Linked DNA regions of Struthio camelus. The protein of the gene in region 1 purifies or fractionates together with the protein of each later gene. This does not show direct contact. Links are inferred from orthologs where the notes say so. Each region holds a gene or a part of one and is shown on either strand. Other genes may lie near its edges.

What was found.
Region 2: the proteins of CAPZA2 (region 1) and MTCL1 purify together in Homo sapiens (affinity purification with mass spectrometry; 3 studies listed by BioGRID and IntAct, counting the BioPlex papers as one, with this or other methods). This does not show direct contact. The link is inferred for Struthio camelus from reciprocal best matches to the Homo sapiens genes CAPZA2 and MTCL1.
Region 3: the proteins of CAPZA2 (region 1) and TWF1 purify together in Homo sapiens (affinity purification with mass spectrometry; 3 studies listed by BioGRID and IntAct, with this or other methods). This does not show direct contact. The link is inferred for Struthio camelus from reciprocal best matches to the Homo sapiens genes CAPZA2 and TWF1.
Region 4: the proteins of CAPZA2 (region 1) and TNKS1BP1 purify together in Homo sapiens (affinity purification with mass spectrometry; 4 studies listed by BioGRID and IntAct, counting the BioPlex papers as one, with this or other methods). This does not show direct contact. The link is inferred for Struthio camelus from reciprocal best matches to the Homo sapiens genes CAPZA2 and TNKS1BP1.

The regions. Positions count from the first base shown.
Region 1 is NC_090942.1:29,001,450-29,008,759, forward strand, and holds the start of CAPZA2 (F-actin-capping protein subunit alpha-2), read right to left. Parts: upstream 3,019-7,310; 5' UTR 2,929-3,018; coding exon 2,890-2,928; intron 1-2,889. UniProt on the Homo sapiens protein: F-actin-capping proteins bind in a Ca(2+)-independent manner to the fast growing ends of actin filaments (barbed end) thereby blocking the exchange of subunits at these ends.
Region 2 is NC_090943.1:116,633,768-116,641,088, reverse strand, and holds the start of MTCL1 (microtubule cross-linking factor 1), read left to right. Parts: upstream 1-4,314; coding exon 4,315-5,199; intron 5,200-7,321. UniProt on the Homo sapiens protein: Microtubule-associated factor involved in the late phase of epithelial polarization and microtubule dynamics regulation.
Region 3 is NC_090942.1:34,630,638-34,637,996, forward strand, and holds the start of TWF1 (twinfilin-1), read right to left. Parts: upstream 3,004-7,359; 5' UTR 2,894-3,003; coding exon 2,869-2,893; intron 2,356-2,868; coding exon of another isoform or gene 1,949-2,355; exon of another isoform or gene 1-1,948. Other genes in the region: TMEM117 (transmembrane protein 117), read left to right, coding at 1,949-2,355. UniProt on the Homo sapiens protein: Actin-binding protein involved in motile and morphological processes. Inhibits actin polymerization, likely by sequestering G-actin. By capping the barbed ends of filaments, it also regulates motility.
Region 4 is NC_090946.1:7,563,472-7,570,481, reverse strand, and holds the start of TNKS1BP1 (182 kDa tankyrase-1-binding protein), read right to left. Parts: upstream 3,010-7,010; 5' UTR 2,870-3,009; intron 2,038-2,869; 5' UTR 1,991-2,037; coding exon 1,894-1,990; intron 1,689-1,893; coding exon 1,043-1,688; intron 216-1,042; coding exon 143-215; intron 1-142. Other genes in the region: FACT complex subunit SSRP1, read right to left, coding at 5,315-5,383, 5,755-5,938, 6,115-6,206, 6,574-6,744.

The DNA.
Region 1 (7,310 bases):
AGTCACACTCAATATTAGTCTGTTTCACACCAGGGGGAGACAAGTGTAGAGAGGAGCAGTGTGATTTGTTCCTGTTGAAAAATAAACATTTGTCTACCTCTACTCCTAAATTTGCATTATAGTCCCAACTGGATAGGTGAGAAGAGTGTGCTTTTCAAAAGCTATTCAGTAGAATTTTTTAGCTCCATAATAGTGAATGACTGAACATGTACGGAGCTAGACAAGTTTTAATTTCAAAAACATTTGTTGCATCATTCATAACAGATTTCAATTAAGACATGAGCAATTAGGCACACTGAGGAAATTTGGTTCAACATCTCCAAGACATGCCGTAAGAATATGTATTTCTAAATTTCTTTCCTTATGTAGTGCTTGTTTAGTAGCCTAATAGAGGGTAAATCTGTCCACTTAAGATTATGGTGACTTTCAGGAGAAATAAACAAACAAACAACTTTACTGTAAACTGACTGTCTTTATTTAAACCACTTATAGTGCACATTCATCTAGATTTCAGTTTAATACCATCAGAAAAGGATTAAACGTTTAAGCAGTATAGCCTTGTACTGTAAAAAAGCACAGAACTTCAATATACCAGTGCTTTCAAATAGATTAATAAAAGGCTATCCAAAATAAGTTTAGTGGCAAAGCGTAAACATAAATAAGGCCATAAACAAGTCCGCAACACTTTGAGGACTCTAGTCTTTCTGAACACCGGGTGGGAGCTGCAGTACACTGTGAACACTTGTTTTAGAATGGATAAATACATTAAACCTGACACACCTTCTAAAATGTTCAGATTAACTGAAGCTACTGCAAGCACCTCTTCCATGGAAACGGAAAATCCTTAGGTATCACAAGTTCTGCATGGACATTTTCCTGCTTTTGCAAGAGTTTGCAGCACTGCCCATCTTTGTTTTATTAGCCAATTAAATAGATTGCCAGGCTTGGAAAATTCCAATGGTGTAGGACAATCAATTTTATATGTGACTGAAGTGGACAAAGGAATTAATAGCATCATTACTGAAAAAAGGGAAAGAAAAAGAAAAAAAGGCCGTAAAGCTGGCATTTAGCAGGATCGGGGTGGGGGAGAAAGGGGCTATTTTTTTTGGCCGGGGTTGCTAAAACTTCAAAGAGGTAGGAGAGCACTGCACCTCTGCTTTCTTCTAAGATGAGACAGTGAAAAACATTAAGCTAAGACTGGACCAAGGGGTAAGAAAGATCACACTTATAGAGCACATGGGAGACAAAAGATTTCCTTCACTGATCTCAGAGCACTCGACAAGGTGGCCAGTTTAAGTTTACAGTGGAAAAGTGCAGACTCCATTCGCTTATGCTGAGGCAGAAAGAGACTCTAGAAGGCTTGCACTCGGTTTGGGAGAAAAGGGAACCTGCAATTAATGGACAGAAGAAAGTCCTGTATTTAACTATAACAGTCACAGAAGCATGGGTAGTGCTTCTCAGTTTATACAGAGGCAAAATAGAACTGTCACTGTATCTTACAGTACCACAAATAACTTTGACTAAAAGTTTTTTCAAGTACACTCCCTATCCACAACACAATGGATTAGAGTTATTTTGTAGAAGTTCCTACAGGACAAAATAATGGACTGCCACATATATTTCTTGGTTACATTCCTACTCGTACCAACACAGAGATGGTATTCGAATATGAATTAGGTAGAGCAGGACACAGTTTTAAAGCCTCATGTTGGGCTAGCGAGATCCTGAAGCTATGTGTCTCTTAGCACATCGGTGCATCTCTTGTTCTGAAACTTGGCAATGTTAACCTCAAACACGCAGAAAGCCTGCCTTGTTGTCACCACCAATTAGACATTTCAAACATCCTTCTTCTAACTTCAGAGAAGTGTAAAGCATTGTTTCGTTGATGTCTCCCACGTTTAAATCATCTCAACAGCTTCTACAGCCATATAAACCTATGTTTTTAATCAGAAATAAATGACACCATGCATTACATAAAGATATGGGCAGTGCACCATCATGTACACAAACTACCACACCCTAGCTCTGAAGCAGGCAACTGCCATGACCCTGGATCCAACAGAAGATAAGGAGCACTGATAATCGGGGTATTACAAGACACCCCACTCTTTGAGAGATTTTCAGGAAAATCCGTCTTAAACTTGACGACGTTTCCAAGAGCCATAAGCAGAGACTGCACGCAGCTCGTTAACACAAACCGCCTGCTCCCTGACCTCAGACTTCCCCAACTGCTGTCCCTTAAGAGGAAGTACAGGGCTGCCCACCCCCAGCGCCGACCTCCTCCCCCAGATCTCCCGTATCCCAGCTCCTCCCGGAGACCGCGGGAGGTGAGCGAGGGGACGACGACACCGCGGGCCTGCGCTGGAGCTAGGGCCGGGGCACAGCCCCCCTCGGCGGGGAGCAGCGCTGGCGCTCCGGAGCGGCCAGCTGGCACCGGGAAGGGGCCGCAGAAACGGGAAGTGGAGATGGGGGAAGGGGAGGGGAGGGGAGAGCAGAGCAGAGGACGGTCCCTGCGTGGCTTTCCCCCCCCTCTCTCTGCGGTGCCCGCTCGGCCCCCTGCCCGGCGGCCGCTCCCCGCCCTGCCCTGCCCTGCCGGCCGCCGCCGGACACCGGATCCCGCCCCCCGCCGGGCCCGGCTCCTGCCCGCCGGGCTCGCACCGTACAAGGAGCGGCGGGGGATGCCCGGCGCGGCCCTGCCCCCGCCGACCCTCCTCCCGCCCCCCTGACTGACAGGCCCCGGCGCAGGGAGAAGCTAAAAATACGAAACGCCGCGGCTGCTGGCGACCCCAAACGGCGAGGGCCGAGCTCGCCTCGCGGCTCGAGGAGCGAGGAGGCAAAAGGGGCGCGCCGGCTCGGCTGCGGCGCAGCGGCCCGCCCGCTCGCCCCTACCTTCTCCTCATCGGACAGCTGCTCCTCCAGGTCCGCCATCTTCCCGTCTGGCTCCGAACAGCGCCGCTCCGGCCGCCGCCCCCGTCCCCGTCTCCTCCCTCCCAGGCAGGAAGGGCGGGGCCCCGCGCCCCCTCCCCCCCACCGCGGCCCGCTGGGGAGGCGCCGTGACTGCGCATGCGCCTGGCCCGGGCCCGGGGCCGAGCCCGGGGCCGGGGGGCGGGGGTCCCGCTGCGGGGCGGCCGGAGGAGGGGAGGGGGCGGCCGGGCCGGGCCGGGCCGGGCCTCACGCTGTTAGCGTTGGCCTGGGCCGCCGCCGTGGGGCGGGAGGGGCCGCGGGGGGGCCCGGCGCTGAGGGAGGCGGAGGGCAGCGCCGTGGCGGTGCGGCTGCGGTCGGCGCTGGCCGCCGGGACAGAGGAGGCCCGCAGCCCTCGCCGCCATCGCCGTCCCCATCCCCGCCCCCCGCGGCCGGGGGCGCTCGGGCGGGCCGGAGTTGTGGGTCCAGCCTGGGCTGTGACTTGGCCTGTTTCAAATGGTGGTGGGCGCTGGGTGGGCCGGCCGCGGGGGCGAGGGCTGCCCCGGGGCGCTGCGCCCCGCTGAGCGTCCCCCGAGTGAGGGACGAGCAGCGCGCCGGCCCGCGCCGCGCCTGCTTTTCCTGGGTGCTAAAGTGAGTCACTTGAATGAGTCCACTGGAAGTCTGTGTGGGTGGAAAGAACTACAGATTGCCAGATTTCTGACATCCGCTCAGCAGCATGCCTAATGCGGGTTAGCGTCTCCTATGGCTAGGAGGGGGCGGGGCTGGGAATTTGCATGGAGGCAAGTTTCAAACAACAGAATGTTTGCTGGAATTTCATGAAGTTTGCTGGAAGAAACTTCAGAAAGTTCCGTTCGGTGCCAACAGCAAAGACCGAGAAAGTCGACCTTGTAAAGTGGTTGGTACTCTTGGATTGGATGAATAAAATGAGTGTAGTTAACCAGAAGAAACAACATTAGATAGGCTGGAAATTTCTTACCACCAAAATAAGAAACCTTTAGATAGGCTGGAAATTTCTTACCACCAAAATAAGAAACCTGAAGAATATCTTCTGGCTGCGTGGAACTGCAGGTGCCCAGAGGGATATTTGAAGATGATGGCTTTTAAGAACTGACTGAAAGAAGAGGTAATAAAACAAACTTTAGAGAAAAGCAGTAATAGAAGAAAGAGAACATTTGTGTAGCTAGCAGTGGGGATTTTGGACGAGTGAAATTCAATAACCTGTGCCAACAGTGTGACCAGTAGCAGGTGCCCAGGGAATGGTGAAAAAACAAGGCAAATACATACTGATACTTCTTGGGAATGTTTCCTCAGCTGCCAGTATTGTGGCTAGGAAGACAGTCCTCCTCGGTGACTCCCTCCTAACAAGGGTTGTCAAACTATTCTTCAAGGGTCTGATAGACAGCAGGAAATTTTGTTTTCTTACAGGAGCAAACATAAGGTCAGACTGGTAAAACAGGTAAGCAGGAGAAGCTGTTTTAATAATGATCCATTCTGGCAACAGTGCGATAGCAATAGACTCCACTGTACAGAAGCTGAACAATTTTAGAGGCCTAAAAAAGAAACCGAAGGAGGAGAACAGTCAGATGACCTGTTCAAGAACTCCTTCCTCTTCCTTGATCAGAAGTAGAAAGTACGTGGGAAGTATTTAACTTAGCCAAGTAGGACGTTTGGGTTTTATGGAACAGTAGAATAAACTGAATAGAACTGGGTGGCTATAGTCTTCATCTTACTAGTATGAGTAGCAATTTCCTGGATGATAAACTAGCAAGGGCAGCTGAGAGAATAAAATGAAAAGGGGAGACTAATGCCAGAGATATCCTTACACCACATGCTAATATATGACAACTCCAAAGCATTACGAAATGAGCCCAGTTATTTGTAAAGGATACATCCTGCAGTTTACTGTGCATTAATGCTAGGAACCTAAAATGCACAAGACAATTTGGAGCTTGAGAAAGATGATACGATTAGTATAACAACATTATTTGGTCAGGTCTTGTGCCTGGGCTATTGAAATCAATAGTTCAGACCTTGGTCCTAAGGACAGAAAGAGTAAAAGGACTAGTGTATTATACTGGAGAGGCCTGTAGTGGTCAGAGACATTTCAGAAGAATAGGTTCTTAATTATTTGTAGATTGAAGTTCTAGTTCATTCAGTGAAAGATAGTCTGCTGTGGACCACCCAATCTTGCTAGAGAGTGAGGTGAACTTCTTAAATATCTGCTCCTAATATGTAAGGAACTTTGTTACTGTTACTTCAGACTGAAGGAAATATGGTGGAAGGATTGTATGTCCAGTAATAACTCTTTGCTAATCTTTATAAAATATTAGTTTCTTAATGTCAAGCATGGTGTACTTCAAGGTGAACAAAGAAGAGCTGATCATTGACTTGAAAATTCAGAGATGCCAAGGTACATGTGAGTAGAGCATGATTAATGGTGTGAATGTAGCCAACTTCTAGCCGACAGATCTTGTTATGCTATAAAGTACATCCACAAGATGTGTTTTTTTTGCATGAGTATCCATACACAATAGTTGATGTAGTCACATGCAATATAGCAAAATATTCCCCAAATTTGTATAATCTTTCAAGGCTGTCACTCTAGGTGCCTTAAAATGTTCGTTGCATGCAAGTGAAAGAAAGTGATATTGGACAAGAAGTCATTGCAGTCAAAGGGGTATGTGGAAATTATGATGACACCATAAATCAATATATAAACAAAAGATATAAAAGTAAAAACCAATGAATGTACAAATTAGACAATGTGGCTTATTCAGGAAAGTTGAAAAGATATATAAAATATCTGTAGTTACTGAGGATAAAGACAACGGACATGTTAGGAACAAAATAATGGGCAAGCAAACCTTATATTTGATAAGGCCATTGCTAGATGCAAAATGATGAAGACTAGTGCAGAAAAGGCATGGTCTATGGGTATTTGGTTTTGGAACATCTCATATAATGTTTCTTAGACTCAGTGATAAAAGTTAGTGGTCTGTAGCAGGAGGAAGCGATGAGCAACATCTGTTGAACAGTTTCAAGCAGGAATTGATAACTTCCACCCGAGAGTCTTAGAGTAAATAGCTGAAGAGCTCTGTGAAATGCTCATGTTATTTTTTAACAAACTTAGGGATTTCCCAGTTACTAGGATATACCATGGAAACTGCTATATTTAAAATGTAAAAAGAGGTTCATTCAATAAGGTAGATCTTGTCATACAAACATGAGTAGTTTTCCGTTAAGATGACATATCTGGCTATTCGATGTACAATGTTTGCACAGAGTCTTTTCTTGAAATTTGCTGCAATCGCTTTGATGATGTGAATGACTTAGAGAAGAATTGTGCAGTCACGACAGATATTAAAGGGAATCTTCAATGTGGCACTCTGGCAGGTGCTTTAATGTGACCTTAGGACTTAATGGGAAAGCAGTAATTCAGCAGGATTAAGTAGGGCTCTCGCTTTGTGACTCAGTGTTGTTGTGAAGGGCTGGTGTGCCTTTTCAGAAAGAATGTGGAAATCTTGGAGAGTGTTTAAAGGAAGACCAAAAATGATCCTGAGGATATACAACAAATTTCAGGATGTGAGGCTTAAGGAGGTCCAATTAAGGAGATTATTGAAGAAAAGACTAAGAGGTGACTTAGGAAATGATTTATTTTCAGTGACTGCAGGATGAAGCATTGATACTCAAGTTAGCTTAGAATATATCTGCATCTTATATGAAGTCATACCTCTTTACTGAATTCTGAATACCTCAATTCTGAATTGATCTACTGGCTGAAAGTTAGCCATGCTCATCTTTTTGCTATAAAGTTCACCCACATCAGCTATGTTTTTCACATGCTAGTGTCTATACACAATAATGAAAAGTTCATGTGCACTGCAGTCACATAAAGTATAGCAAAATATCGTCAGTATTGTTAACTAGCTAGCTCATGTCTTAATAGATGTCTAGTCACACTACGTGAAACGCACTGTGGGCTGCCAAACCTATCTGATGAGCAGTGTGTGGTTAACTGACAGAAAGAGAGAAAACAAATTGATTTTAAAAAGACTTCTTTTTGAGTTCTAATTAATCTAAGCAAACATGATAGATCTACCAGTCTTGTACCTTGATATTTTGCACTACTATTTCTTCCATTTCTATGTATGACTTTGTAGGTCCAGAACCCTGGCCCTTGATTACAATGGGAGGAAGAGCACAGCAAGCCTTCCTGTGAGGCCTCCCTGCAGAGCCGTGAAAATGGTTTGGGAGAAATGCGGTTTCTGTGCTAAAGTGATCCTGATGACTGGCAAGTGGTCAGTTTGGCAGAGGGGGTTAGGAGAGCATACTTCTCCTGTCCTTTTGCACTGACCCCAACAGTTAAGATAAACAATGCAGAAAAATGA
Region 2 (7,321 bases), on another chromosome or scaffold:
TCACAATTATTTGTGCAAGTACAACTTGGTTATCAAAAGTCTGCATGTATCAGGCAAAGGACATCGGCATTGCCAAAATAAATTTGTTGTAAAAGTGTTATGTCTGATTATTTGTATTATTCAACCACCACCCAGACGTCCTATTATGTTAAGAGCTGCACAAGGCTGTAAGAAACTGTTCCACCACCAGGGATGTATGACTAATTTAAGATAAGAAACAACAATTGGACATTAGAAGCAAAATAAAAAGAATGGGAGAGGAGAATTAGGGTAAGCGTGACAGGCAGTCTGTGGTGGCATGCTCCTGCATGAACCATTAGTGAGTTTTATGTAAGGGGAGAAATGGTTTGATATAAATAAATAAGAAATATGATACCTGTATTCCTTACTGGGCATTTGCCTAGCCCAATAGAGATTTCTGTGGTATGTACTTAGCTTTCATATTAGGGTATTATTCTCACTCACACCATGCCCAGTTACACCACTTTTTTAAGGATCTCCAAATGGCACTGCATAGATAGCAGAGGACAGAGGAACACAGCCAAAACACTACAGCTGGGCTCGTACCACAAAAATTCGCCATCTGTATCCAGCTAGGCACCTGCCCAGCAAGGGTTATTGATACTGCATTTCTTTGTTATTGAACTCTTTATACTGCTAGAGCAATATAAAGGGATCTTAGTGTGACTGAGCTTTGGTCTCAGTCTAATGTGTGTTTTCCTGTTTTACATTTCCAGTTCGAATGTGATTTTGTTTGAGTATCAATGTAAATAAATCACTTGCTATGATGCCTAGTTGAACTGATGCTGCCTCTGAATGCAAAGGATAACAAACCTTGCTGTATACTTCAGTGAAAGGAACACATACAGAATACAAGGATAAATGTTTATAGAGGTATCTGATCGCCAGTCCCCTTGCTAGTCTAAGGTCACCCTGCCAGATCTTGGGCCTTTAGTTATTCTGAAAGTAGATTCTGGGCACCTTCCCAGTAAGTCTGACTGAGTTGAGGTCCTCCTTGTCTTTGTCTTTTGGAACTTGTGGCCCATAATGCACAGTGATATAACAAGACACCTTACAAATAAAGCATTTAGTAGCTGAAAGAAAGCATTTAGTGAAAAAAGGGTCATAAAATAACAACAACAACAACAATCTGTATGCATGTGTTTACAATGTAAAATTTACAAGGTAACCTAAGCAAACTGGACTCTGCCAGGCACTCAAGTGTCACAGATTAATTCCCCCAGATAATTCCCAGCCCTTTGTGAATGTGCTCTTTTCTCAACCTTCCTAAGTCTTTTCCCCTCCAGTGGCACTGTCTCTCAACTATTGTTTGTAGAAAAGTGGCTTATCTTGAGCTATACTTTTTCCTTTCATTTTCCTTTTGAATTGAACTTTTGTGTTCATGGAGCAACTATGTCAAAACAGAATACTCATAAATTATGACAGAGCAGTTCCTCTTCCATCATAAGACTTAGAAACATTTAAAATCTAGTAGGTGAAGCTGGAATTCCTGTCTGTTCTTAAAGGTTACAACAAAAAGCAAGTGAGAGTGAACGTACTAGAGTAAAACAACCTTTATTGTATCTATCATCTAGGGTGACATGTATAATAATTAATATTACTTAAGATGAAATACAGCAGCCATCATCTCTTTCACTCCAGAAATTTAGAAAAGGAGGATTGCTCAAATCGCACAATAGTATGTTGCCGAACAAACCAAGAACACAACAGCTTAGCAGAAAAGACTGATACATGCAGTAGTCTGACAGAAATGCCATGGCATTAAAATGTAACAATAGTGTATATTTTATAAGCTGTTCTTCTAGAGAAAAGTCTAGCAGAGCTGCTTCGTATTGCTTCTATAGACTGGTCTTCTCATCCAATTAACAATCAATTATTAGTACTGTACACCGAGGGAGAAAAAGTGGCTTACGCTTGACAGCAGGCTTGTTGTGTTCTCCTTTCCTCAGAGTACTTTGTATAAATGGTAAAGGAGTTGGCCCCACACAATCTGCCTCATATCTATACTATACGTACAGACAGGCAGCAGCAAATGCAATCTTTGCCACACTGCTCAAAAATACTTTGCCATGTGACCTAAAAAGAACATTTGGATGAGGGAACTTAACTGACCAGCAGCAGTGCCAATCAGGGAAAACTGTAAGCTGTAGCAGAAGCTACATTTGTTAAAGAGAAAAAAAGAAAATCTCTCCATGCTCTGTGGCAGAGTTTGCTCTCCTGCCCCAGCCACTTGTAGAAGGACCATGCCACTCTCTTGGGGCAGCCAACCCCTCGGTGGGGGACATGTGTGACCCCAGGATGCGCCCCCAGCTCTTCAGCCCCAGGTCGGGGGCTTTAACCAAAGTGCTGGAGCCCTCGCAGGCGTCAGGCACTGAGCGTTGCCCCCGGGATGCAGGGAGCCGCCGAAGGGCTGGTGGTTGCCGAAACCCTGTCATCAGGCAAGCTCACGGGGCTGGCATGTTAACCAGGGAGGTACTGAGGAGCCGCTCTTAATTTCTGGAGACCTGTAATACAGTTCTGATTTGAATAATTTTTCAGCACTATAGCTTTTACAAATAATGACTACCTGTTGCATACTAATAGGGTAGCATCTGTGTTGCTCTTCAGCAGGATACATCAGTTTTGCCCACTAAAACTTCTCGTTTACCAGGACAAGAAGTCCCAGGATACCAGCGCCGTCCCAGTTCTTCCCCAGACGAGCTGACTGGCCCATTTCAGGTGACTCTGCGCATTGGACCTGGCTGCCACCCCGAGACCAGGTTTCAAACCCTTTCCCCAGAGCCGGATGCTGACCTTACCTCAGCCCGCCTGGACTGTTTTTGTAATGGTATCTAGTGCCCTCAGACTTCAGCAGTCCCAAGGGCTTTTGCCTTTCAGGGTAATACTTTGCACCTAGACGAGCAGGGTGGGAGACCCTGTGTGCCCAAGGGTGCTGGCACGCCACCCCCCACTTGGACTGCACTTGCCCAGAGCATGCCGCAATCACTGCTGTTCAGACTCAGATGAATTAAGCCTCCCAATAACTTTATGAGACAAGCATGCATTTACCATCTTTCTTTGACAGATAAACGTCAGGGAGCCACCGTGGCTTGTACAAGGTCTCACTGTGCTTGAGTGGAGGAGTCAGAAACACCCTGACTGTTGCCGTTGTGCGTTACCCAGTTAGGCTGTGCCTCTTTCCCACGCTTTAGCCTCTCCTCCCTTTCATGTGTTCTTCGAACGCTTCGCAAATTTAAGGTCTTTAATTTCATATCCCTGTGCTCCAGAAGGATAGGTCCGTGCCTTTTGTAGTTTAGCCACAGCCAGGAACTTGCTGATTCCCTCAGATACTCAGCCCTGCCTCTGGGTGAACCTGTGCCTGCCTTAAGCAAAGATATAATGCGGTGACTGTTGTTTTGTTGCTGCAGATCTCTGGAGAGAGGGTTTTCGTGGAGTCTTAGCTTGGAAGGGAAAAAAAAATCAACACGCAACGCTATACAGCTCATGGCTGGGAAATTAAGATGTTGCCCCCTCCCACCCCCAAATCAGGCTTCCTTATAGGAAGTGACTGGCAGAGGCGCCCCTACAACACGGCATGCGGGGAGCTCGAGGAAAGTAGTTTGCAGCGAGAGCAGCTTGGCTGGCTGACAGAGGGGGCGGATCCTGCGCACAGGCGGGGAGCGCCGCGCCGGAGCGGCCCCGGCAGCGGCGGGGCTATTTCAGGAGCCGGCGGAGGCGGCGGCCGGGGCCGGGGCGCGCCGCGCCGGGGCCGCGGGCACCGACCGGGGAGCCATGGGGTTAGCCGCGCCGGCGGGCTGAGCGAGGATTTGCGAGCGGAGGCGAAGGCAGCCGGGAAAGACTCCTTTGCATCGGATTCGAGGGAAAAGGGAGTCGTTTTCTTTTTTTCTTTCTTTTTTTTTTTTTTTTTCGGGCTGCATCACAACTTGAGCTGCATCGAGGCGAGCCAGGCAGAGAGGGGAGCGGGAGGGGAAGGAGAAGGAGAGGGAGAGGGAGGAGGAGAAGCTGCCGCCGAGGGACTGGGATTCGTTTTATTGAAACAAATCAGTGCTCGGGAGAGAGGGAGCGAGGGGGAGGAGGGGGAGGGCAGGACGAGGGGGATCGGGAAAGAAAAGTGTGAGGGCTGTGGCTGGGAGAAGCAGAAGTGATGAGAAAGCAAGCGGGGAGGCTGGAGGAGGCTGCTCGTGCTGCTGCGACCGGGCTCCGCGGGCACCGCCGCTCCTGCTGCCGCCGCCGCCGCCGCAGCCGGGCGCCCCCGCGGCCGCCGCTGCCGCCCCGCCGCCCCCGGCCCGCGCCATGGAGGCGCTGAACGGCCCCGGCCCCGGCCCCGGGGACACGCTGCGGCCGCCGCCGCCCAGCCACCACCACCCGCACGCCGAGAAGAAGCGGCTGAACCGAGCCCCGTCCCCCGCCAGACCCTTCCTCAAGGACCTGCACGCCCGCGCCGCCTCCGCCAAGCCGCCGCCGGCGCCCCCCAAGTCTCCCAGCCTCCCCGGCCGGGCGCAGCCGCCGCCACCGCCGCCGTCGTCGCCTCACGCCGCGGGGCTGCTGGCGGCGCAGGGCCGCCTCTCCCGCCGCCCCGCCGCCCCCGGGGCCAAGGCGGCCGCCGCTGCTGCCGCTGCTGCCGGGCGGGCGGCCGCCGCCAAAGCCGCCCCCTGCGCCAAGCGGGCGGCCCGCGGGCCGGAGCCCGGGCCCGGCGGCCGCGGCGGGGGGCGGCAGCCCGGCGGCGAGGCGGCCCCGCCGCCCGGCAAGGGCAGGAAGGCGAAGCGGGGCGCGGCGGCGGGCAGCGGCCATGCGGCGGCGGCGGCGCTGGCGCTGGCCCGCGTCAGCCACACGGACAGCAGCTCCGACCTCTCCGACTGCCCCTCCGAGCCGCTCTCCGACGAGCAGCGCCTGGCCCCGGCCGCCAGCAGCGACGCCGAGTCCGGCACCGGCTCCAGCGACCGCGAGCGGGAGCCGCCCCGCCACGGACCCGCCGCCGGCCCCGGCCGCGGCGCCCCGCTGCCCCCCGGCGGCCCCCGCGGCGACCCCGCGGCCCCGCTGCCCGCCCCCCCGGGGGCCGCCGCCGCCGCCGCGCCGGGCGGAGGGCGAGCGCCGGGCCGCGGCGAGCCGCCGCGGGCGGCCCAGGAGGAGCTGCAGCGGGAGATGGAGGAGCTGCGCTCGGAGAACGAGTACCTCAAGGTGAGACCCGCCGAGACCCCCCCCCCCGCCCGGGGCAGCGGTGACTCGGGGGTGCCCGTCTGGGGCGGGGGTGGGGGGGCCGCGCCGCGGACCGCCGGGTTTACTCGCGCCCGTCGGGGCCGCTGCGGGCAGCGCGGGCGGAGGTCGGCGCGGAGCGGGGCCGTAGCAAGGCGTCGCAGGGGCAGGTAGGGGGCTTCGGCGTGTGGTCGTGTTTCTCTGCAAAAGGCTTGATTTATAGAGGCTGGATGAACGCGAGGCCGGCGCGACGGGTGCGGTAAGAGTGCTGTGGCTGGGCGGTGCGTGATCCCTCAGCCATGCCCAAACTCTTTCTGAAGCAGAGTGAGCACTCCGCTGGTTACCGGAGACCTCGCTTTCCAGGAATTGTTATCCTCAATATCACCCTTACAGGAAAGAAAAAAAAAAAAACAACTCATTTGATATCGGAAAGAGGACAGCGTCTTGTCTGTTTATCGTGTTACTTTGTCACTGAAGAGCCAAGCCATTCATTGTGAAGTACTAACGAAGTAACAATAGCAGCCGTAAAAGGAGTCTTTGCATCGTTGTACAGGTAGAAAAGCACACATATGTGCATTCAGCCTCTGAGAAAACGGGAAAGCTAAATTCAGGAGTGCTCTGAGCTGATCTGACCTGCAGAAACCTTTTGTTGGACTAGTACTTACAACATGATCTTTTGGCACAGCAAAGAGGCTGCATCCATAAAGATCTATAAATAAAATAAACTGAGATAATCATGTAACCACAGATACTGTACCATTTGACTCTGCTGCTGGTGAGGACGATCTTTGTTCTCTGAATATCACAAACACCATTTCTTCTCAAGCAAAATGACCATGGGCATCCAAGGGATTTTTGCTCTAGTGAGGACTGGAGTTTCGTAACCTTGGGAGAAAGGAGGATGGCGAAGAGGTAGACTAGGCTTGTTAAGCAGTTTTGGCTAGGAGACAAGAAACGATGTGCAGCATAGCAAAAGGTTAACAGCAGGGGTGCTGCAAGGTTCTGTGCTGTCTGGTGCTGCTTCATGAACTGGAATAAGGAGTGAGCAATGATACAGCAAATTTTTCAGATGACACAGATTTTTTTTTTGATGTGAAGTCCAGCAAAGACTGGACAGAACTCCATAGGCAGCTTAATCAGGGGAGGTGAATGGGTAAAAAGTGAAGGCAGAGGATGCGAAATAAATCTCAGTACTGAAAATTCAAAGCATTCAGAGAGAAAAAGGGCTGAATATATACTTTTCTAGGTTTTAAATGCGTTGTTTTAACTCAGGAGCATCACAGTGGAAAGAGCAATGCTCAGTGTGCAACTGCAGGTAGTACTAGATTGCATTAGAAACTGAATGGCAAAAAAGCAAAGAAAATATCATAATGTTTTATAGATTCATAGCCATTATATGCACTGGAATACTGTGGGCAGTGCTGGTCATCTAGAAAAGGATAATGCAGAACTAGAGCAATAAAAACTATTGGGGCATAGCAAAGCTCTTACAAGATTCATATTGGATAGAAGACTCTGTAGTGCACTAGAGAAATGCAATAAAGGTCAGTAAAAAGATGAATAGCGTAGAGAACCTTTATCAGAAGCTTCTGTTCTGCATGAGAGAAACAAGGGGACATGTAATGAAATCCAGACTTGTTAAAGGATTGCTTTTACAAATAGTTAAACTGCATTGGTCTTTGGGGTCAAAAGCCCAGTAATACCCAGAAGAGGAACTGGCTATCCTTTCAGATGACAGGGTTTGCAGACTTACAGTACTTAACTTTGTGAAGCAGGTGATGAACTTGGTGAAGCTGACCATTATGAAGAATGTGTTAAGCTGCTTGTTTCGTGTCCAAGGTAGTTTCTAATTATGGGAGACTTAAAAAAAAAAAAAAAAAAAAAAAAAAAGGGGGGGGGGGTTGATGTTATGGAGAATGTTACCTGCCTACTGTGAGTTTCCGTGCCCCTTCCTCTGAGTTGTCTAGGACAGGCCACCGTGAGGGTACTGGACCCCTGGTACTGACCAGAGGACCTGATCGACAGATCCTAGGTAGCGAGCTTTATTCTGCGTCATTTCTCATTTCTTGCCCTGTGTGACAGTGTCTTCAAGTCTTTCACCTTGATG
Region 3 (7,359 bases), about 5.6 Mb from region 1:
CTGGGTTTACCAGGCCCACACCAGCTTTATCTCAGTTAGCGTTCTCCCGTTAACCAGTGCTGACCCTCAGTTTAATTTACTCCCAACTTTTCTAATTGTCTGCCTTTCCACATAAGCCCACTCAGCACACACACAAATATCTTGACATTTTCTGGACCTTCCGATTCTCCTGGGACTTTTTTGTCCTCTTCTTGCCTATTACCTTTTGTTCTTTATTCTCTAGTATCGAGCCTACACAGTAAAACAAGACCAAAGCACAGGAGTCACTACTGCACCGACACCAGAACTGTAACAGCTCCTGAAGTAACAGCTGAAGACAAAACACCAGCATCTGAGAAACTCTCTTGCTAACAAGCGATCTAGAATTTTTTAGCAAAGGCTTTAAAAGTCAGAACAGCATGGTACTATTTTCTGCTTAAACTTCCCGCACAGTTGAGATTTATAGAATTACAATTTTTGTATCTCATTGTGTAGTCTGTAGTTTAATTTAAATTTCTTTTTAAAAAAAAAAAATCGTGATGATAAACACATCCATTTTCTTCATCTACGCTACTGCTTCCACTAGTGAAGTTGAGTTCTGCTAATAGGAGCGCTTAATTAAGATACTTGGGTAGAAACACACTGGATGTATCCAGCTCCACATGCCCTACCCTACCAGGAATGGACATGATCTGCTGTCTCAGCACTATCCTAGACAGGATTTTTAAAAATATGCAACCTACAAAACTTTAAGATAGACAAGTTGAGACACGCTCCCTTCCTCAACAAGCAAATTCATATTAAATAAACTATTCAGCGCTTGAACAGTCCTGTAGAAGATCCGGTTAAGACCTTCGGAAGATTGCACTTAACTGCCTGTAAACATATACATGTATCAACTACGTAGATTTGTTCTGCTGAACTTTCAAAGTGACTCATCTGGAGTAGAGAATATTAAAATACAATTAGGTTTACGGCACAAATATTTTACAGCAAATTTTATTTAAAAATAATTTAGTAAGCTTCAGACATAATCTGGAACATAATCTGGCCAACTGTCCACAGCCCAATGCAAGCGAATATTCTGTGATCCCCTGCACTATTACTGCCCTGCTTGAAAGTCCAGTCCCTTTAGCATCTGCCTGGTACGTATCAGACACCTGAAGCATCACTGGTTCCCGCTACTCGATTTCAGCTTCCAGGAAAGACCAGTCCATGCTGCCAAGCCTTGCCATTATTTTTCAGGGACACCAGCCTGCCCGTAGCTAAAGCGGCCAGTCTCACAATGGCACAACAAGTGCTATTCGTCTCCCACGCCGCAGCCCTGCCGAGAGGCAAGCGGATGCTGCGCGGCAAACAGGGTCCCTGATTAGCGGGCTGCCCTGCGTCCCAGCCTGCCGAGACAGGAGCAGCGCAGGAAACCACCCGCGTCCTCTGCAGCTCTCCTCAGACAACAGAAAGATTCTCGGAGACATGAAGGAGAAAAGGCTTGGCCACCCTTCTTGCTCCTCAGCTCCTGCAGGGAGCAACAGGATCATTCTTTTGCTCCTCCCTCCAACAACACCAAGGAGAGAAAAAGGGAACGTGAGCCACTGCAACAGTCCTTCCCAGTCTGGAAATAAAAGCTATTCTGGATGCACCTCAGGTCTGAGAAGGGGCAAAGAACTTAAGAGAAACGAGAAGAACAAAAATTGATGCAGGGAAAGGAAAAGGAGAGGAGAAAAGGTGTCTAACAAACATAGCAAACGGACAACAAAGCAGGGGGAAGCGTAGTTAGGAGCTCCCACAGCAGGTACAAAAGTCGCCTTCAACAATAAAAGTGGGAGAGCAGGCAAAGTACACCGTACTAGTCACTGAACAAGCAGATTGCGGCAACCAAGACACAAACTGAAAACCCCCTTAATCCTGCGGTATAATCCTTGTTTACTCATTCTGTGATTTAAGGGCCCTGGTAATACTGAGAAATAACATGCCCTCTTCTAGTTGCACTTCATATTCTCCATGGCCGGGAAGCAGGGGAAAACAGGCTCCCCCACACCTCCCCCCTCCACAGCCTCCTGTAACAGGGCTTTTACTGGGCTTCCCTCATCCTGGATCGCTGGTTCTTCGCAGTTCCCTTTCTGTCTCTCTGCTGTTTCTCAGCGCTTCTCCCATGCAAGGAGCCGGGCAGCAACTCTCGGCACTGTCGGCGCTGTCCGAGCCGTTTCGCCCTAGCTGCAGCGGCGCTGAGCAGACCCCAGCTTCCGCCAAAGCCCGGCGGGACCCCCCGACGGCGGGCACCGGTCCGGCTCCAGCAGCCCGCCCACCCCCAGCAGGAAAACCTCCGGTAAGGTGCAGCGGGCACAGGTTGCTACAGGAAGTTACTCGAGCCAAAAGGTATCTTCCACGTCAGTATAGGGTTTTTTTTTTTCCTTTTGCATTGAATAGCTGTCTACCTTTCTTCTTGTGGTTAGCCGAATAAATAAAACCCACAAGTCGCCTGCTAACTCGTGATGCGGCGGCATCGAGCAGTGGAAGTTCGCAGCGAGACGCGACGTTGCCGGCCCTTGCTAAGGCTGAAACGCCGAAGAGCCGCGGCCCGAAGCAGCGTCCCCCCCCCCCCCCCCCCCGGTTAGGCTCGGCTCGCCCGCGACCCCGCGGCCAGACAAAGGCGGCACGGCAGAAGCAGCCCCGCTCGGCAGCGAACAAAGAGCCCGGCCGCGGGGCGCGCTCCCCCGCGCAGCGGCGGCCCCGGCTCCCCGCCCTGCCCCGCGGCCGACGCCGCGCCGGCCACGGCCCCGCTCGCCTCCTGCCCCGCGGCCAGCGGAGCGCACAAGAGGGAGAGGGCGGCGGGTGCCATGAGGGGGGGCAGGGCAGGGCAGGGCAGGGCAGGGCGAGCCGCGCGGCTACCTTGGATGCCGGTCTGGTGGGACATGTCGTTCGCTCGCACCCGCCGCGCCGCGCCGCGCCGGCACCGCAAGCCGCTGCGCCCCGGGGCACTGCGCCGAGGCCCGGCCCGGCCCGGCCCGGCCGCGCACACGTGACGCGCCCGCGCCACTCAGCGGCGGCGAGCGCGGCGCCGGCCGGGGCTGGGGCTGGGGCTGGGGCCGGGGCCACGGCGGCGGCGGGCGGCGCCGCTGCTGCTGCCGCCCCCTAGAGCAAGGCTCCGCCGCGGAGCCCCTCTCGGCTCGACCTGGCCCGGCCCGGCCATGCCCGGGATGATTTGTTCGGGATCTTCTCGCCTCGCCGACCGCTCGCCCCGTGGGGCCGTGGTCAGGGCGCCCCGCCGGTCCTGCCGCCCCCGGCGGGGGGCAGCGGCGGCGGCGGCGCGGCAGGATCGCAGCTCGGCCGGGCTCCTGCGGCCTCCTCCCTAGCGCCCGGGGACGAGGCCCCGCGGGGTCTCCCAACTACAGGGAAATTACCGAGGTGACTGCAGAGGTCCGCAGGAGTCGGCCGCGGAGAGCTGTAGCTCTTGCTTGGGGCAGCAGGGAAAGGGCCACAAGGGAACTTAAAAAGGAGGACACCAAGCTGCTGATGTGTTTTGCAGAATTTGTGTTAAGTAGTCATCAAATAAATTGCTCAGAGATGAGGGAACAGAGCCCAGAACCACCGTTCTCTCCACTCGAGCCGTTGTTCCTCATGGGGGAGTCACTCTTTTTCTCCAGTTAATTTTGCTTTATTTGCTACTTGGTGGCACAGCTTCAACAGGAATAGCAAAGGTTTTCTCTATTTCACCGTGTTACTGATGCTTGAGACACTTTTCTGAGACACTTTTGTTAAGGTGTGAATGCAGGAGTGGGGGGGCATCTACTTCTCAGTGCATTGCCTACCCACAAGACCAATGGCTTTTACACCTTTTGACTTGTGTGGAAAAAGTTTTCTTAAACTTTCTTTTTTTAAAGTTCCCACTGGAAGAGAGCCAAGTATAGTGAATTTAAGCATGCTCTGATGTAGCTTTGCTTTTGATAGTTACCTAACACAGGCACCTGGGTCCACAGGCTGAAAACCACCATCCTCTGATGATAAAAAGATGGGTACTACTTCTTTCCTCTTCTTTAAGAGTGGCTTCTGTGTTCTGTGCTGTAGCCAGTGTTTTTAATCTGTGTTGTGGTCTGGATTAGATTGCACAGGTGAAATGTTCAGGTGTTTGTAGCTGTAGCAGGACTGCAGGCACTTTAATTGAGTCTTGATGCTGATGTTCTTTCAGATTCATAAGGAGTTAGCAGGGGTTTTATGGGTCACTAGTCAACATGAGAACATAAAAAATGCTGTAACAAGGCATACAAGGAAGTAACCCAGCAGTCTATCCCTCCCCACCAATGGCACAGGCAAGAAAAGAAGAATAACGCAAGCATATACTTCTCTGGTATACTTTTCCAGGGATTTCTGAAGTCAACTCAGGGATTTCTAAACGGATTTATTTGTGTTGGTAGATGTGTTTGTCTACACTTTGTCACATCCCCGGTTTGAAGACACCAGATGAGGGAGTCAGTGTCCCGTTTGGGAAATGGCAACTAGCATTGTAATTGCAGTATATGAGCTCTACTGTGTGATGTTAGTCCAGCAAGTAAGAAGTCACTGTGGAAACGTCTCACCCACTGGAGAGCTGGAACTAACTGTGAGGGCTGCAGCAGCTGGGGAAGTAGAAAAGCTGCAGTTTATCTTTTTTCTAGCAACAAGGCTGAGAGAGGGAAAAGACTTCACATGAAACCAGGAGATGAGAGACAGCAGATACCTCCCAGAGAACAGTGAAGTCAGCTGTAATTCCTCTATTATAAGCCTCCCAGCACAAAGGTCATTAAAAGCTAAAGCAAGTCTTGGACAAGAGCTTTTCCAAAAGAAAAGAAAGCATTGAAGTTCCAGTCAGAGTGGCAACCAAAGATGGGACACTATCACAATTACTTTAAATCGTGATCCTGTGTTCTTGGTTCCTCCCAGGTGTTGGCATTAGTGTTTGTGAAGGACTGATTTGGCTGAATGTCTCTTGAGGGAAAAGTTTTCAGACAGATCAGTTCCTTGATCCAGTTGCTCATGTGTCCCCAGGAGCACTAGTACTGCCACAGTGTGGTAATGAGGATGCACAGCCAAGTCTGTGGGACTCTGCTTTCAACGGCAGCCCACACTTAGACTGGAAGTGTTAGACTGATATGAGACTACAGTATCTGTCACCAAATTGAGATCACCTTGACTATCTGAGGTGACATCACATCGATCCAACCAATCTGTCAGAGGGGTACAGTACAGAAAGTGGATGGGCAGTAAAGTACAGAAGTAGAATTTTGACATCTGCTTAGTAGGAAACTTAAAAAAATGAAGGCTTGTATACACTGGCAGATTTGGAAGAGATTTTATTTCTTTATGACAATAAAAAGAATAGCATTGAAATGGTGCTCTTTTCTCACTGGAACTAATACTGTGTAGACTTCATATTCAGTTTAATAGGAAAAAAGGCAAAAAAAGTATTTTTTTTAATCTGAATATCAAAAATATGTTCCTATATTACAGTGTTTCATGTTTGACAAAGAAGAGAGATGTTCCAGAAAGACAAGCGAAACTGAGCAAGGATTTTATGTTTAAGAATTTTAAGAACTTTATGCTAAACTTCTGAATTTTAGTGTGCTTCAGAGTCTTATTAACTGCTATCCAAATCACAAGTCATTATGAAGAGTCTCAGGATAAGAATACAGAGGTTTATTTATTAGCATATTTATTTATTAGCATTATTTTGCCTTCTTATAAGTTGCATATTCTTCCCTGTACTTGAATTCATTTTTTTCCAGTAGACATCAGTTTTTGCACGTGGTTAAGGCTGTGATGGTTTTGGTAGAAAGCGCATACTGCAGAACAGCCCACATTGTAGTAAGATTCTTTTAACTGAATAATACACAACATTTACAAGAAGGAAATATTTTTACTAGACTTTGGTATAGTATTTTCTGCGTGACCTTTGGGTTTTGGGGTTTTTTTTTTTTTTTGGCAGTTTTTACTGTTTCTTTAATTCTTTCAGAAATACGTCAAAACTTCAACTCTGTTTACCGTAAGTAGCCCTATTCCCATACACCCATAGGTAACTAAACGAAGAAATCACACTCTCTCCTACAGTCAGATTTGATTATAACTTCGAGGATATGTGTGAAAGGTGCTCTTATGCACATCAAAATGGACTTTGAGCATGCCAGTGCTTGCTTGCGTAAGTCTCAATATAGGTAACTCTAATCAACCACCACATCACACTATGTTCAAATCAAGTAGAAAGGTATTTCTTTGTAATGGCTAAAAGTTATGGGTAGTCACCTACCTGTGAAGAAATACTGCTATTCATCTTTTGCTAAATGTATATATAAGAGAAATTAATGCTCTCTTGCCATTATAGCAAATGTTTCTTTATTACAGTATAAAGGACAGCTCTCACTTTGTGTACTTTAGTAAGTATAGCACTGTGAAGATAGCTCTACATTTTTGTAAGCTCTTAGGTATTTCTGTTTGTTTCTCATAAATATGAGCAAGTAAACTATCTAACCCCTGTCCCTTAAAATTCATAATTAGACAGGCTTTTCTTTCTGGCTGCTTAAACAGTGGCCAGGATCCAGGGTGGCCAGGAACATGCTAGGTAGACAGCTATTTTAAGCTGAATTGCAATATAGTGGATAGCCAAGTTTTAAGTTACTGGAGGCTTTCTAACCACTGCCAATAGGTGATAACAGATTTGTAGCAATAGGTTTTGCTATCCTAGAAGTTGTAGAGATTTGATTCTTGTCATGTTTTGGTACACTTTGATAACAAGAAGCAAATGCCCTGCAAAATAAACTGAATGACGAACAATTGGTGGAAATTCTGATATTTCTTACATGTTTCTGTTAAGTGCTTCCTGACGCTATCTAGGAGCTCATTCTGAATATGGTTTATGAGTTTTGTCCATTTCTAGCCATTATTCTGATCTGGTAAATCTGTAAATAGTCATGGCACCTGCAATTTTTATGCACCTTCACAGTGTAATGGGTAACGTGACGGTCAAATTGTTTCATGTCCTCAGTGATTTTTAAATCACTGAATTCTTCAAATGTGATTCGTTCTTTCATAGAGTTACACTGAGAGTCGTGATTACCTAATGTGAAAAATGCTTTGGAATCCAGTCACCTTTTGGGTCACGCTTTTCGGATTTTTGTTCTGCCTCCATGATGTGTTATCTGAATGCGTTCCAGAAGTGCATTAAACAGTATGACTAGCATTTCTGTGGTTCTTAGTTTTGTTTTTTTCTCTCCAAAGGGAAAAATTACTTTAATTATTTAAAACCTGTGTTTGCTTTGTAAATTATTAGTGACAAGGTCAAAGACGTTTCCCTTGTGCTTAGAGTGCTTAGGATGACTTTTAAGAATCGTCTTAGATGATGCTCAAAGTGAT
Region 4 (7,010 bases), on another chromosome or scaffold:
CGGGACACCTCGGTTCGCCCGAAGGAGGAAGGAGAGACACGCACCCCGCACAGAGGGAGCCCCGGAGGAGACAGGAGAGCCCCGAAGGAGAGAGCCCAGGAGCGGAGCCGCCGCGACGCCGGAGAGCGAGGCGAGAACTCACGTCAGGGGGGGAAGGCGGCCTCCAGCGTCCGCGGGGGTCCCCGGCACAGCTCGGGCCGGCTGGGGGGGAGCCGCTGCCAAAGAGAAACAAGGAAAAGGGATAAATCCCTCGCACGCCTCTGCTCTCCTCTCCCGTCCGCCAGCCGCCGCACCTCCCGGCCCCAAACCGTCCGGCTCTGCCCGCAGGAGGAAGGGGTCAAGCAGCGAGCGGGTGAAGCACAACAGGCCCAAAACCCGCTCCAAGCAGTGCCCGAAACAGGCACTGAATCATCAGGAATTTTTTTTTGGACTGCAGCGGAGAGGAGGAAAAAATATCAGCAGCAATCCCCTTTCTGGAAAGTTTCTGTCCTTTGGAGAACAAGTTTCTCACACTCGGGATTTAAATAGGTTCCCGGAGGTGCCCAGCTTTGAGGAGCGCAGCCAAGCGCTGGCTCCCAACCAGGACGTCCTGCACCCAGGAGTCCCGCAGATCCAGGCTCTCTCTGCCTCGGCGTAGGCAGGCAGGAGAAAAAACAGCAAGGGTGGGAAAAAGGGAGCACTTCCCAGGGGTAGCAACCCCTGTTATTCGCGCTGTCAGGGAGGCCCCTGTTTCGGGCAGCGGGATGGCCGGCTGGCTCGGGTCCCAGCCCTTAGAGGGTTGCAAGCGTGGAAGCAGTTCCTCAACTGGGACAGCCCGTTCCTGTGGTTTTAATAAAACCACCCAGAGCTGTCGTGGGTGACCCAACCTTCCCACGAAGGCAGCTCAAGGCACTGTCTGGTTAGGAGAAACACGATCCTCGTGCTGGGAACCAGACCTCAGCTCTCTTCCGATCCCCGTTACTCCGTCTCCGGCACCGTTCAGAGCGTCGTACCCCTTCCCCGTGGCCCTCTCGCCCCCAGGGACTCGGCCCCGGCCGCTCACCTCATCTCGGGGATCGGACAACCGTCATCCCCCGTGCCCAGCTCACCCCCAGCGGGCTGGGGTGCCTGGTGGGCTTCACCGGGGGCGTCTCCATCCGCCTCCCCGCTGGGGCGTCTCCGGAAGGCGGTGAAGGTCTTGGACCCGAAGCGAGAGGGGACATCGGGGCAAAAAGGAGAGAGCCGGGCCCGGTCGGGGCTTCCCGGACCCTCCTTGCTGTCCATCTTGGCCAGGATCTCTTCCACGGTGGTGCCAGGGAATCGCTCCAGCTTGGCTGCCACCGGCACCGGCGTTACCTTGAAGGGAGCCGGGCCTTTGCGAGAGGGTGTCAGCGGGGCCGGGGGGAGCTCATCAGCGGGGGTCGAACCCACGTCCCCAGCAGCTGAAAGCGGAGGGGACGGGAGCCCCTTCCCGTTGGGGGTCTCGGGCGACTTGAGGCTGAAGGAAGGGCGTTTGAGGGCCCCTCCGGAGCCGCCCCCGGTGTACGGCTTGGGCCCCGCCAAGCGGTTGATCTTCTCGGCTGAGGGCAGCTCGGGGCGAGGGTGGCGCGGCCCCGGCGGGGGGTGCGGGAGGCAAGGTTTGGCAGGCACAGCTGGCTTGGGCAGCACACGAGGTTTGGGCCGGACAGGCGGTTTGGGGCGAGCGTTGCCTGTGAGAGACACGAGGAGAAAAACAGCGTGTGGGAGAAGTTACTACTCTGAGCCGAGAGCAGCAAACTCCTCTCGCGGGTAGACCTTGGACGGGAGCCTGGATCCCGTCCTCCTCCCCTGCCCTGGCCCCCGCAGAGGGGAAAGGCCCGCTGCAGACTGGACTGGCCTCCCCCAAACCCCGTTTCTCTGCGTGGGGGGACGTACCTTTCTCGGGGCTGCCTGCTGCCAGCCCGGCCCCCCCGTTGCCTTTGGCGGAGGCGCAGGGCAACGGGGGGCGCAGGGGCTGAGGCTGGGAGGCCATGGCGAAACGTGGGCTGAGGCTCAGCAGACTCGGTGCGCGGTCAGCCCCTGGGGAGAGAGAGGTGTTGCGAGGAAGGCGCTCGTATCGCCTTTCTGGGCTCTGATGTCCGTGGGACCCGCACCCAAGGAACCCCACTGTCACCCCGCCAACCCTCTTGTTCACCCGTACCAGCCTTTGCCCCCAAGCCCCAGCTCGCTCGTACCAACCGTGGCACAGGGCCGTAACCCCAAATGTTGCGGCAACCCCAAGTCTGTCCCCAAAGGCCATGCCAGTTCCTCAGTCACCTGTCCCAACCCCCCCCCAAACACTGTGCCAACCCACACACAGCACGACATCCCCCCGTTAACCTGTACCAACCCCAAAATACGATGCCAGCCCCCAACTAATTTGTACCAACCCCCTAGACGCTGCACTGACCCCCCCCGCCCAGCCCATGTGCCACCCCCAGGCAGCTTGTACCAACCCACGTGCAGCGTGTCACCCTCGATGAACTTGCAGCAAGCTCCCGCACCCCGTGCCAAGCCTGAGTTAGCCTGTGGCAACCCCCCAGACGCTACACCCGCCTGCATATAGCATGCCAGCCCCAATCAGTCTGTACCAAGCCCCCCTCTGAGATGCCAGGCCTACCCTCCGCCGCTACCAACACCCGGCGAGCGTGCCAACCATCGGTCAGCCTTTATCGGCTGCCCCGGGGCGCCGTGCCAACGGCCTCCGCAGCACGCCGAACCCACGCTGCGCCCAGGCCAACCCTCTCAGCGCCAAGCCCCGGGTTGCCGGTAGCACACCCTGCAAACACGGGGCCTCCGCCGCGCGCTGCCAACCCGTCCCACCCCTCCTGCCGGCTGGGCCAGTTTGGGGGGGGGGGGGGGCCACACTCACCTTCCCCGCAGCGGCCTCATGTCCGGGCTGGGACGGGGAGCAGGGGGACTCGGGGCAGGTCCGCAGAGGGAGGCGGCCCCCAGGCTGGCACGGGGATGGCGCTGGCGTTGGCCGGAGCTCGCGTGAGTGACTCACGAAGGCTGCGGGGACAGGAAAAACTCGCTCAGCTTCGCTCTCGCTGCTGCTGCCTCCTCCTCCTCCTCCTCCCAGCCCTGCGCTGCCCTCCCCTCCGCGCCCTGGGCGGTGGGATGGCTGGGGTGAGGTGGGGGGGGACCCCCATCGCCAGATTTTTTGGGCTCGGCCGCCCCCTCCTCCTCGCTGCGGGCCCCCCAGAGCCGGGGGGGGGGGGGGAACACGGACAAACACACACACACACATCTGGAAACCATCGGCCCCCAGCGCCCCGCTCCCCCCACCCCGGCTGCGGCCTGCTCCCGTCGCCTTGGCAACGCAGCCCCTGCTCGATTTGCCCTCGTAGGGGCCACTAGGGCCGGGCTAGCGGGCCCGGTGGGGGGGGGGTAAGCACGGCCTCCCGGGGCTCCCCCCGCTCCCGTAGCCCCCGGGGGTCCCGCAGCTCCCCGGGGGGGGGGGGAGGCTCCGCCCCACCCGACCCCACCCCACCGGTACCGCTCGCTCCCCCCCCTTCCTCCTCCCCGTCCCTACCGGGAGGTGCCCGGCGCGGCTCCGCTCACCCCCCCCGTCGCCCCCCCCCTCGTCGCCGTCGCCGCCGCCGCCGTCCCCGCCCGCGCTCACCCGCCGCCGCCGCCGCGCTGCATATTCATGAGCGCGCGCCCGCCCCGCCCCGCCCCGCCCCGCCCGCGACGTCACCCGCCCCGCCATAGAGCGCGGCGGGGCTAGAGCGGCCGCGGCGCCGCGTGGCCGCCACCGCCTCCCGCCCGCGTGTGCCGCCGGGAGGAAGGGCCGGAGCCGCCGCCCGGCTGCCATAGAGATGGCGGCCAGAGGGGCCCTCTGCCTCTCCCCCTCCCCAAGCCGAGGGCACTATGGGGCGGGGGTGGAGCAGCCGCCGGCGCCATAAAAGAGGGGGGGGTCGGCGGGGGGGGGGGCTGCCGACCCCCAGCTTGCGCCTACACCCTGGTGGGGGCTGGCGAGCAGGGTGGTACGTGCCATAGAGAATGGGGCTAGAAGGGCCTCCTGCCCACCTGTCCGTACCATAGAGAGTGACCCTCTGGGCCAGGGTTCTGGTGTGCTACCTCCACCCGGACCCTGGGTGGGCTCCAGTCGCAGCCCCCCCACCCCGCGGGACAGCCACCTGCCCCACGGCCACCCTCCCCCTCTCCCTCCAACTACAGCCACACTCTCGGGTCAGCCCCCTCACACCCAGCGGCAGCACACAGCCGGCCTGCAACACCCCGCTCTCCCTGCAACCAGCCGGCTCCCCTGGCCGCGAGGGTAGCGCGCGCGGCAGCGCAGCGGTGCTGGTAAATAAGCATGCGGTGAGGGCCTCGCCCCGTCCCCGCACAGCCCGCTGCGATTGAATTACAGCCTAGACCGGGAAGCGGCCGCAACAGGTCGAGCGGAGAGACGGTAATGGATGGCCCCGGAGAAGAGGCGCTAATCGGATCAGCCCCCGACCTCTGCAGCGGAGCCAGGGGCCAAGAGGGGCTGGGGCGGCCGTGCAAGCACTCGGCGCCATCCCCGACCCTCCGTGGGGGGACGCGAGGCCCAGAGCGGCCGGCTGTAGCACCCCCCCACACCCCACCCCGCGTCGGGGAGTGGAGGAGCCCTGGGCCCCATGCTTTCCGCTGAATTGCATCAGGATCGACCGTGGGGCCTCCATTAGGAGCCTGATGGCTCCTTAACGGAATTAGGGAGGCCGAAGGAGGGGCTCGGGGCTGCTAATGGACGGGCAGGGAGTGAGCTCAGCCTCTGGCCCCGTTTCAAGGACAAAACGGAGCTCGACCCCTGCCGGCTGCAGCTGCGAGGAAGCAGCCGCGGCACAACCCGGCCCCGGGGTGCCGCTGTGGGGGGAAGGAAGAAGGAGCCCACCCTGCTCCCTCTGCCTCCCCCGGCTCCGCACCCACACTCACTCCCTCGGTGGGGTTTTTTTATTCAATCTGATTTGCCACGTGAACGGACCCAAAATACAAAAAAAAAAAAAAAAAAAAAGAGAGAGAGAGACTGAAACAAACCCGAGTATTTAAAAAAAATAAATTGGTGAGAAACAGGGCTGAGGTGAGACTGAGGCCCCTCCTGGGCCTCCTTGTGATGGGGTCTCGCTCCCCCAACCAGGCACTGAGGGGAGAGGGCTTGCCTACCCTGCTCTTGCGTCTCCCTGCCCCCGGCGGTACGGGCAGGAGGACTCAAAGTCGAGGCAAGGTGGGTTCAGAGCCGGCTGTAGCCCAAGATCTGGGCCCCTGACGCGGGCCGGCCCGTCCCAGTCCTCTCGCTGACCTGGGAACCAGCCTGGAAACGGCAGGGACGGGGCTAATCCGAGCCGGACACAGAATCTTCCGAGCTGGGGGGCAGGCTGGCAACTCCCTCCTCCTCCGAGTCCTGTGGCAAGAGAGGACGTTAGGACAGCGGTACCTCGGCAGCTCCTGTTCACCTGCCTCTCCGAGGTGGGTCGGGGTGATGGCGGGGGGCTTTGCTGTCCCTTGGGAACAGGCAGAGGCGTCAACAGCACCGAGCCCGCGCGTCCTCCACCATGGGACCCGTAGGGGCCGCCTGCGCGTAGCATAAAGACGGGCCAGAGGGGCCACTCCCACAGGGATGAGATGAGCGAACAACAGACAAGACGTACCAGAGGGGTGCGCTCCCTGTAGAGGTGGGACGGGTGTACCATTCCCAAAGAGATGACCGGAGCGCACCATAGAGAAGATGGGGCAGAGGACCCAAGCCTGCCAACAGAAGTGGAAGAGCCATACCTCCTTCTTGCTCTCTCCAGAGGAGCTCTCATCACTGGAGACAAACTCCTTGCTCTTGAAGCTCTCACTCAAATTCTTGGCAGGGGACTTGGTGGAGGACAAAGACTTGGAGGCTGCACCTTTCTTCTCTGCTTTCCCCTTCATCTGCTTCTCCTGCTTCTTCTTCTTCTTTTTAGACCGCTCCCTGTGTTGGGAGGGTAGAAGGGAGAGAAGCGTTGCCTTGCTGACAGCCCGCAGCCAAGGATACTGCCCCCACGCACCCCAACCCCAGGCACCCCGATGGCTGGACAACAGACAGATTTCAGAGACGCAAAGCCCTGCCACCTCCCCCTACCAGCCCTCTCCGCTCAGCCCACTCACGTCTTGGAGCTTTCTGACTTGCTGCCCACACTGTACTCCTTCATGGCCTTCTCATAGTCCCTCCTGGCGTCTTCTGCCTTACGATCCCATTCCTGCAGCCAGAGCACAATGTTGGCAACGCCTTCTCCCGCATCCAGTCCTCCACCACCATCATCTGCACCGCCAGAGTCCAACACTGTCCCCACCCGCAGCGCACCAGCACTCCCACCACACAGCTCACCACCTCGGTCAAGACTGTGCCCGCCCAGCAGTTGCCCAACCCAAAGACATCACCTCCGCACTGCAACGCTTCTTTTCTAACCTCCTGTTTATGGAGTGCTAGGTTCCTGAGACCAACCAAGGGCCTGCCACGCTTCCTTCCTAACGTCCAGCCTCTCCCTCCTAGACATGGATCAGCTCCCCCCACCAGCAGAGCAACCCAGGTGCCCCTCGCAAATTCCTCCTCGTTGTGTGCCTAACCTCTTTCTTCTCCTTGGACATGGCTTTCCAGAGCTCCCCAGCCTTCTTAGACAAGTCTGTGATGCTGATGCCAGGATGGTCTGACTTGATCTTCTCGCGGTTGGCGTTCAGCCAGAGCATGTAAGCTGACATCGGCCTCTTAGGAGCATTGGGGTCTTTCCCTTTCTTGCTCTGGGAAGGAGGGAGAGAACAAGCATGAAAGCCTCGTGCAACGCTATTCACTAAAGACTTCAGGGCTGCCCCAAGACAAAGGGCTAGGTCTCAGCGTGCCTCCTATATCCCACCGGTAATTCAGCCCACCACTACACCGTCGGGGGAAACGGGTTGTCAGGCCACGCCTCCAACAACTCAAAGCACCCACTGGGCAGGTTGCTGGAGACAAGGTGTCCAAAAATCAAAAGGACCTGCCAGGCACAGGCACCGCAAACCCTTTGGAA